2 linked regions of the Oryzias latipes genome follow. The protein of the gene in region 1 binds, or shares a complex with, the protein of each later gene. Links are inferred from orthologs where the notes say so. Each region holds a gene or a part of one and is shown in the gene's direction. Other genes may lie near its edges.

Region 1 (4,312 bases):
AAAAACAGCAGAAATGGATGAAAGTGTTGGTATGCTATTCAATATCTTATTTATTTAAATAACTAATACATGCTACCTTAGTTTATAGAATTAAATCAAGTTTAGTGAAAAATTTAAAGAAAAAACCCACACAAAAAAACTTAAATCTTTTTATAGAGAGAAGAAAAAACTGATAAAACTTCACCCGTCAGAGTTTCTTTTTTTCACGGTTCTATCTGCTTGGAGGTAATTGAGTTTGTGCAAATGCCCCCTAGGCGTGGAAGTCTTATAGGAGCACAGATCTCGAGGTTTCCAGACGTTTGGCTCTTTAGTTTTTATCAGAAATTCTTCTTGGTAGAAACGTTATAAAAAGGAGGACTTTAGGATGTGTTTGATGCCGATCATCTCTGTAAAGTTTCTTTTTTCTCATTGAAGTCTGAAACACTTGAAACTGTTTTTAAGCTGCTTTTCTGCCCACAGTTTAGCCAAAAAAGTGACGTTTCAGGGTCATTTTGTTATTAACATTAAAAACAGACGTCTTAATTGTTCACTATAATGAGAATTTCTCTCTTTCTTTGTTTTGTGTTTACAGGAGAAATAGACACCCGGTTTTCTTTCTGTGCTGTTGCCACACTTGCATTACTGGTATGTTTTTTATTTGTTCACAGTTTTTCATCCCAAAGCCCACCAATCTCTAAACTGCCTTTCACACTAATGCTGTTCTTTGAAGGGAAAGATGGAGATGATAAATGTTGACAGAGCTGTGGAGTTCGTCTTATCCTGCATGAACTTTGACGGCGGTTTTGGCTGCAGACCTGGTTCAGAGTCTCACGCTGGGCAGGTGAGGAACTAAAGAGTCATTTCTCTATGAAATAATAAGCAAAGCCTCACTTTTTAGTCCAAATAAAATACCAAATCAGGCCTTCTTCCACCACCTCACGTCATAACTCAGAGGTCTGATTAAGAAGCGGAGGCGTTCTCAGGAGGAAAAGTTTTCATGCTGGACTGTTATGTGTTTCTCTTCAAGCCTCAGTTGTGTTTCAAAAGTCTAAACCTGTTCTGGTTCTGGTCTCAGATCTACTGCTGCACCGGGTTCTTGTCTCTCACCGGCCAGCTGCACCAGCTGAACGCAGACCTGCTGGGCTGGTGGCTCTGCGAACGCCAGCTGCCGTCTGGAGGCCTCAACGGAAGGCCTGAGAAGGTTTGACAGCTTCTAACATGAAATCACAAATCTTTTTAGTTTCCTCGTGAACCAAACCTTAGTGCTGTTGAAGAAGATCATTGAACTCTTTTTCCCATGAGGACCAGCCCTCAGAAACCTGCCGGCGTTCTGAAAAATGTGTTTGTGTACACATTTCCTGTCATTCCCCTTTTTCCCTAAAAAGGAAAGTGAAGTGTGGTGGATCACAGAACACGTTTCTGCTGTTTGTCTGTGACACTGATGTCACCATGGGTTCCATGGGTTCCTATGAATTAAGTGAGAAAGAAACAGAACATGTGGTACTTGCTGTAACAACATTTCTGGGTTGGCTTCAAATATCAGCCCCTCCAGAATTTTCCGGGTCTTCCGATCAACTGCCTCCGACTCGGTCCAGCTGCTCTCATTTTGAACAAGTTTCACCATCAAAATTTCACAATTTACTGTGTGTGGGTTTAAAGAAATCTAGAGTCCAGGTTTTGGGGGTGAAATGAGCACATTTAATGTTATCGGACAGAAAGGAAAAGGTTTTCAAAGCATCACTGAGTCAGCTTTTTATTCTTTAGTTAAAATGTAACGTTTTAACGAAAAGATAATGTTTTTGTGTGAAGTTTGCTAAGCATGCTGCTGTTATTCCATTGTTCAGGTTTGACAAACACTCTTGAACAAACAAGGACAAAAAAAGATATCATTGTAAAGAAATCCCTGATGAAGAAGGACTTTCATCAGTGTGGAGCATTTCCTGTGACGGTGCATAAAGCTGCCCTTGGAAAATAAAACAGCTTTAGAATTTGTGTGCCATCCCTTTAGTTTGAAAAGTGTAGCAACTTTGATCACAACTTTGAAGGCAAAAACTAGCGGCGGCTTCAGGATTTTTGTGCTGCAATAATCACTGAAATAGCTGTGAGATCCTGAATTTTGTGATGTTGTGGTTTGAGTGGAAGACAGAGAAGAAGAACAGAGATTCCTCAAACACTCGCATTCTGTGGAGGAAAGAGATGAAGGCCTTTTGCCGCTTTAAGGCCAAACATCAAGTTTGCTCGCCGTTTTTTTCTTTTTCTTTTATGTACTACTGGCAGACGGCTGAAGCTGTGAATGTTTTGCACTCCTGGTCTCAAAGCCATCTGTCTTTGCAGCTTCCAGATGTCTGCTACTCCTGGTGGGTTTTGGCATCTCTGAAAATCATCGGTAGGATCCACTGGATCGACAAGTCCAGACTACGCCAGTTTATTCTGGCCTGTCAGGATGAGGAGACGGGAGGTTTTGCTGACAGACCAGGAGACATGGTGAGCTATCACACACATAAGAAGAAGAAGAAGCTATCCGACATGTCTGGACCTCCGTGGTTCTGTTTTTTTGAAGGTGGACCCTTTCCATACTCTGTTCGGGGTGGCTGGACTCTCCCTCCTGGGCGAGGAACAGGTCAAAGCGGTAAATCCGGTGTTGTGCATGCCAGAGGACGTGTTACAGAGGATCGGCCTGCAGCCGGACCTCCTCAGCTAGCCTCCAGATGCTCGGCATGTGTACGTGATGCTCCTCCGACCTCCACGCCTGGACAATGGAAGCAGAGACAGAAGCACGTTTCTCAGCCAGAGTTGAGTTCATTCATTGAACAAACGAGGAAAGTTTCCGTCATTCAACATTCCTGAAGCTCTCCACTGGATCAGTCCTGGAACATCTCTTGTCTCATTTCTGTCCTGTTTTTGTCCTTTTATCTCCGTAACAACTGCTGACCATCTGACATGTTGCTGTGGAAAAACCCCTGATACATTTAGTGAGGAAACGTTTCAGGAGAGGGCGACAAATCTATCATTTTTGATGTTTTAGAAGCTGAGACTGCCTCTCTCTGTTGTCTCATGTTTCTGCCTTCATGCTCCTGCAGCTGTGTTCATGGGCTTCAAAGCTGCAAAGACTGTTTCATGTCACTCAGCTTCAGAGAGTGTCGGCCGGCCTCAGAAGGCTCCGTTTTGATGCCACCTTGAATGTCTTCTCCACACTTCCAGCCACTATATTTATTAAAATGTGTCACTCTGTGAGCGTCTGAACGAAGCTCCAGGAAACTCTGTGCTCGGTCACTTTCTGCTCTTTATCTTGTGTGGGGAAGTTTTCAACCGTCTCCTCTCTGCCGTCACATTCAGGCTAAAACGATTCTACTTAATACAAGGAAAAGAAAACATGTTTTATCAGTAAGATTTTCTAAATCTAATAAGAGCTTTTCAAAACTTGAATTCAAATTTGATGAATAAGACAAATGCTCAATTACAGCCTCAATAAGTTTATGCTCTGTGTTAAAACACTTTAAATATTTTCAACTTTGACCTTCAGCAAATCAATGACCAGTGAAAACCCTTCAAACCTAAGTAATGATGTTTTTGTGTGTTTTATCCTCCTAATTATAATTATTTTGTTTTGGGAAACTCAGCCATCATGAATCATTGACATTTAGGAAGAGATTCACTCTTCAAGGACAGTTTCAGGAATCTAAATTCCATAAGTTCTATTTTTATGAAGAGATTATTCATTTAATTTGAAAGAGTTTTTTACCCCATAAATCTTTTGAGTTATTAGAAAAAAACAAAACATGCAGTTGAGCCATAAAACTGTAAATGTTCTTTTCTAAAAGCCTCATATTTACGCAGTAACCTTAAACCCAAACTCAACGTCAAACATTTTGTAGAAAAGCAGAAACATTTTTTGACATTTGGCTACCTTGTCAATGAATATCAGAATTCTGGTAAACGTGGTTAAAAGCCGTCTTCTAAATATGATTCTTTATTTGTCATTTGATGATGGATCATAATTGTATTTACAGCTAAACCTTCGCTCTGTTTCTCCTCTTCTTCAGTTCACCTAAGATCTGCACGAGCGAACATTTTAGAAAAAGAAATAAATAAAAATAAAAAAACCTCTAAGAAGTCAGAAATCAAACGTTAATTTCATGTAGATTTACCACAAGCTAGGAAGGGATTGGACAGAATAACGCTGTGAAGTCAATCATAAATAGTGCGAGTTATAAATATTTTTTTTTTCATCAAAATGCAGAATAACTGTAGCTTTTAGCCAATGCTCCCTTTCTATGTAAGATTCCCCTGCAGGATGTGCTGCTGGCAGACGCTGAACCACAGACCCGCTGCC
Region 2 (4,948 bases), on another chromosome or scaffold:
TCCTCAGAACCCAAGAGAAGCAGATGCGATGACTAAAGTACAAGCAGAGCTGGATGAGACAAAGATCATTCTGGTAAACTTCCCTGTCTTCAGTTTTCACTAAGTTCTGAATTCTTGTACTAAATCTACAGTTTAAAAAAAGCGAACTGGTGTTGCACAACGTGTGCGTATTGTGTATTTCTGTCCATTTGTGACAAAGTGAACTTGTTCACAGGCATTAAAATTGATTGACGACCATGATGGCGCCGATCTATATCCGTTTGAGCTATTAGCTCCAGCCTTGGTCGTAGCTAATGCCGAAGCTGACTTCAGGGGCAGTGAACCTGCAGGAATACGGTTGAATAGTCTTTCTTTGTTTAGGAAGGTTTCTAACAAAGTGAAATGACCCAGAAATGTCAACCTTGATGAAAACATGTCAAACTCTCTTAACACAGTCAATAAGCTTCAATGCTTACTTTAAATTCTTCTAGCATAGATGGACAATCCATGTGAGAAAAAAAAATACCTTTTCATATTTAGAATTCACTTTTATACGGTTATTTTATTTGAGCAGAAATATCTTTTATGAACTATAAAGTACTCTTTCTTTTTAATATTTTATTTTTCCCTACTTTTCCTTGAAGATTTGGTGTTTTCTGTCGCTGTGAAATAAAACTGTAGAAACACTAAAGCAATTTGACTTTAAACTAAGAGGTGGAAATAAACAGTGTCTTTGCCATTTTTGAACAAGAGGCTCAAAAAGATGCCATCTGTGGACGTTTAACGGTCAGCAGAACCCGGGGCTCTGGACGCAGCATCATAGAATGTTTTTCTGGTTCTGATTTCTCAAAACTGCACATCTTTCCCCATCACAGGATTCGATACATACATGGTCCACAAATCAATGAATAAAATATTTAATTAACTTTGTGACAGTCCAGTTCTTTCACCTAAATGGATACAATCTAGATATTTGTTCTGTATTTGGCGTTTTCAAAACTATAAACAAACATGCCTTTTAACAGAGACACTCTTTTTCTTTCCTACTGACTTTAGATTTCAAGCAGCAACAACGGCTTCAGCTTCAACATTAAAACTGGCCTTTCGGGTCTTTTAGACTGTAGACTTTAATTTATTCAGGTATTTTTTGCAGTGCTTTGGAAAAAGAAGGGTTTAATAAACACGGCACATCCTTCGCTGTGGAACGTCTTCAGACAAATGAAATGGATCTGACTTGGTGGAAGCAAGCTTGTGATTGGACGTCTTTTTGTTTAATCTCATGTACAGAAAAAGACGAGTAAAGACACAACGGGAAGAGAATCTGACAGTTCCACAAACTGATCATGTTCTTACAGATCTATTTTATAGCTTTTTACCAACATAATCTTGTATTTGTGGTTTTCAACTGATAATGCTGTTACACGCACCGTCTTTTTTTTATCTGCATGTATCTGAATCCTTTACATCCCCACTTAAAACCTTTTTTCCACCACTAACTGCATTTATTCATTTTTCAAACACTAAACTGTTCCTTATTTTTTGAGGCCCAGAATTGAACCACCAACTGATTTAGCTGGTAATTAAATTTTAAGCACCTTTTAGCAGTTTGTCAATATAAGTTTTTGCATAAATGTGTTCAAAACAACGCTCAAGTGCTATAGTAAGCAATTAATCACTAATATGCTTCACAAATCTATTGTTTTTAGACGGAATATAAATTTATTAGTAACAAAAATGGAATAGATCGGATAAATATTTGTCCTGTTTTTTTTTTGGGGGGGGGGTCATGAGCTCATTGGAACCTCTGTTTCTGTTTTATGATAATAAAGCTGTTGTCTTCTGCAGCACAATACTATGGAAAGTCTGCTGGAGAGAGGAGAGAAACTGGATGATCTTGTGGCAAAATCAGAGCACCTGGGAAATCAGTCAAAAGCCTTCTACAAAACTGTAAGTCCTGATGACTTTTAGCTCAGCTGTCCTTACCTAAATAAAAAAAAATGTAAAAGTTGTTCTATTTCTACAAAAAAAACCAAGCGTGGCATGTGTGTTCTTCTATTTACCCTCCAGGCACGGAAACAGAACTCGTGTTGTGAAATCATGTGATGTCTCTGCCTTGTCCTGTTGGGACGCGCCTCTCTCTGCCTTTCTGCTTGTCCTACAACCCCCATCATGCATCAGTCACAAGCTCTTCACAAGGACCTCGTCTCAGATGGAGCACCAAGACGAGAGCGGGAAAGTGTGGCCGGTCAAAGAGTGCCGTCTCTGGATTGGGACTGATGGGGGCTGAAGGAGTGATGAGATGTAGTCGGAAGAATTTTAATTTAATAACAAATTATCCTTCACCTTTAAAGGCATCTGTGTGATCAGTACCAGCCGAGGACATGATGGTGTGTGTGTGTGAGACTATGTGTACAGGACGTGTGTGGTCAAAATATCTTCAAACCATTTAATGTTGTCTAGATTGAATCTGATCTTAATCTCCTAAAACAGTTGAAACGTAATAACCATAATTGTGCTTTTTCCTCATGGAAACAGACAATCTTGTTTATGTAATCATATGTTTTGCAGTCCGATTCTCAACTGTTTTATTTTTTTTTCTTCAATCAGAACTCTATAGACCCACTGGGTGGTGCTGTTTGATCACATTGCGGTTTAAATGAGTCTCGTTGAGCTCAATTAAATATATATATAAATATATGAAGTGTCAGCTTGGGGGTGCGACACCAAAGTCTCTCTGACTTTTACCTACATTTCTTTGAAAAGTTTTGCTTTGCTGGATTTAGTTACAGAATTTTTTTTCTTTTCTTAATTTATGTGGAAAAAAATGATTAGCATTCCCATTCGGCTGTATTTAAGCGAGGCTTAAAGCTGTTTAAACATGAAGTGTTAAATGTAGCGCTGGCATCAGTGGGGAGTTTGTGCGTTGTTAAGTCGTCCGGACGGTTGTGTATTTGCCACGCTTCATAAAATGAGTTTAAAGTATGACTCTGAGGTGTGGATTTTAGATCAGATCACATTCCAGGCTTAAAAACTTTATTTTTGTCACTGTGAGCACAGTTAAGTCTTATAGGGTACATTTAGCTTCTTTGAGAACTCGCCGGTTTGAGGGGAAGCGATGCCTTTTGGTTGTGTGTTTTAGATGTCTCTTTCACTCCTTTTGTAGATATACATGTGAGGTGCAGACTGCTTTGATTGGAGTGCCAGTGTGTTTGGAGAAAAATGTCTGTTTGCTCTTTCTGCTTTTACAGTATAACATTGGTGCAATATGTGCAACTCTTTGCAAATAAAGAGGAAAAACCAGTTAAAATATTTCTCACTATACTGACATAACATTAAAATGTATACACACTTTTGTTTTGACTAACACACATAAAGATTGAATTTTTGTTTTTTTTTCAATCTTTAAGTTAAATGAAATCCTTTGTAAGATTTCTGAACTTCTGTTGTAGTTTCTTTGCAGTTCAGGTCTTACATAGATTATTAAATAGTGCATTCAAGATTTTTGATCAATGTCTGCTTATTAAAACCAAATGTGTTCAAATACATTTTTGTTTGCGCTAAAAAATTAGATTGGGGGATGATGGTGTAATATTGGTTAATTCGAGGCTTTTATTTTGACTTCTTTATTTTTGACTTTTAAACAACTGTAGTGTTGTGTACAATGATACCAATATTTTTTGAAGACGCCCAAGATTTTATACATTTTAAAATCTAAGATTTATCTGAAACAATTTAATTTATAATTGGCAAAATATAAATTACATTTTTCAATGCTGCAAAGAAAGTGCTCATAAGAGCCACTCAGCCACTTCAAAGACTGTGCTTTACATTTAAGAGCATGTTAATAAATATATTTGGAACTTAACATTTGTTTTTGTTTTTTTCCTTTTCAACCTCCAAAGGGATCTAGTAGTTCAAGAGAATGGATGAGTTACAGTGCATTTGTGTCAAGATAATTAAAGTAAATTTTGTACTATTTCAAAAATGCAAAATTTCACTTAAATTGTAGTAAATGGCAGTTCCCTTTTTTTTTTGCATTTCAGTAGGCTAGGGCCACCATACAATAAATATATGAGAATAAAATTATAGGAAAATCTAAATATTGCAAGAATAAAGTCATAAAATTAAAAGAAGGCAATTATTTATTAGAATGAAATCTTAAAGTTATGATTTAAAATGTCATAACTATACAATAAAATTGTTTTTTCTTTAAATATAAAGATAAATTTATGAAAATACATTTACAAAAATGTAAGGCAGATTCAGAGAGGTTCTTAAGCAGTGATGTCCTGCAACAGAAAGAAGCCTAAACAGGTTACATTTGATTGTCTTTGTTGAAACATTTTAAAAGCTAACTGTAAAAACTTTATTTTTAAAACATGACTTTGACCTTGTAAAATAATTATTTTCTGAAGTATAATTTTCAATTTCTATTTTGAATAACTGTACGACCTCAGTAAGATTTTGGATTTTTTACTCGAACGTTTGCAACTTCTTTTACAAAATTTTATAACTTTATTCTTGGAAAGGATTTATTTTTTTTCTCTCATAATTTTACAACTTTTGGCTTTTTTAACAATTTTATTCTAGTAAAATATTGACATTTTACTCATAATTGTACCACTTTATCCTCATAAAATTTTGACATTTACTTATAATTTTACAACTTTACAATTTCTTTTACGACTGTATTCTTATTTATTTGGTTGTTTATCTGTTCTGGTGGCTTAAATATCCCTTCCTACTCAAACAAACCAAAAAGATGCATTTAATGACCTCATCCCACTAAAAACGGGGCTTTTTGGACCATTCGACTCTCCGTAGATTGAAGATCCCAGCGCCAGGTATCAAACGCGAACTCAAAGCATGAAAACGGAGGTGGAAAACAAGTAGTTTTGCTAAATAGTCGGATCGGCTGTCTTCTTAACAGTGATAATGAGGGGAAAACACGCTCGAGTCTCTGTGAGGA

Evidence for each region. The genes of interacting proteins can lie anywhere in the genome.
Region 2: the proteins of rabggtb (region 1) and ykt6 are in contact, whole or in part, in a crystal structure (PDB 6J7F), measured with the Homo sapiens proteins. The link is inferred for Oryzias latipes from reciprocal best matches to the Homo sapiens genes RABGGTB and YKT6. Residues at the interface, in NP_004573.2 of Homo sapiens: Thr3, Pro4, Gln5, Lys6, Asp7, Ile9, Lys11, Tyr37, Leu45, Trp52, Leu236, Asp238, Cys240, Arg281, Gly283, Asp284, Met285, Asp287, Phe289, His290; in NP_006546.1 of Homo sapiens: Lys60, Gln62, Asp63, Leu65, Asn83, Glu84, Tyr85, Pro86, Ser87, Leu153, Asn155, Thr156, Glu158, Arg189, Lys190, Cys194, Cys195.

Annotation. Positions count from the first base shown.
Region 1 is NC_019875.2:3,790,972-3,795,283, forward strand, and holds the end of rabggtb (geranylgeranyl transferase type-2 subunit beta), read left to right. Parts: intron 1-571; coding exon 572-624; intron 625-709; coding exon 710-820; intron 821-1,054; coding exon 1,055-1,180; intron 1,181-2,313; coding exon 2,314-2,463; intron 2,464-2,539; coding exon 2,540-2,680; 3' UTR 2,681-3,240; downstream 3,241-4,312. UniProt on the Homo sapiens protein: Catalyzes the transfer of a geranylgeranyl moiety from geranylgeranyl diphosphate to both cysteines of Rab proteins with the C-terminal sequence -XXCC, -XCXC and -CCXX, such as RAB1A, RAB3A, RAB5A and RAB7A.
Region 2 is NC_019867.2:5,875,420-5,880,367, forward strand, and holds the end of ykt6 (synaptobrevin homolog YKT6), read left to right. Parts: intron 1-7; coding exon 8-73; intron 74-1,824; coding exon 1,825-1,926; intron 1,927-2,046; coding exon 2,047-2,082; 3' UTR 2,083-3,844; downstream 3,845-4,948. UniProt on the Homo sapiens protein: Vesicular soluble NSF attachment protein receptor (v-SNARE) mediating vesicle docking and fusion to a specific acceptor cellular compartment. Functions in endoplasmic reticulum to Golgi transport; as part of a SNARE complex composed of GOSR1, GOSR2 and STX5.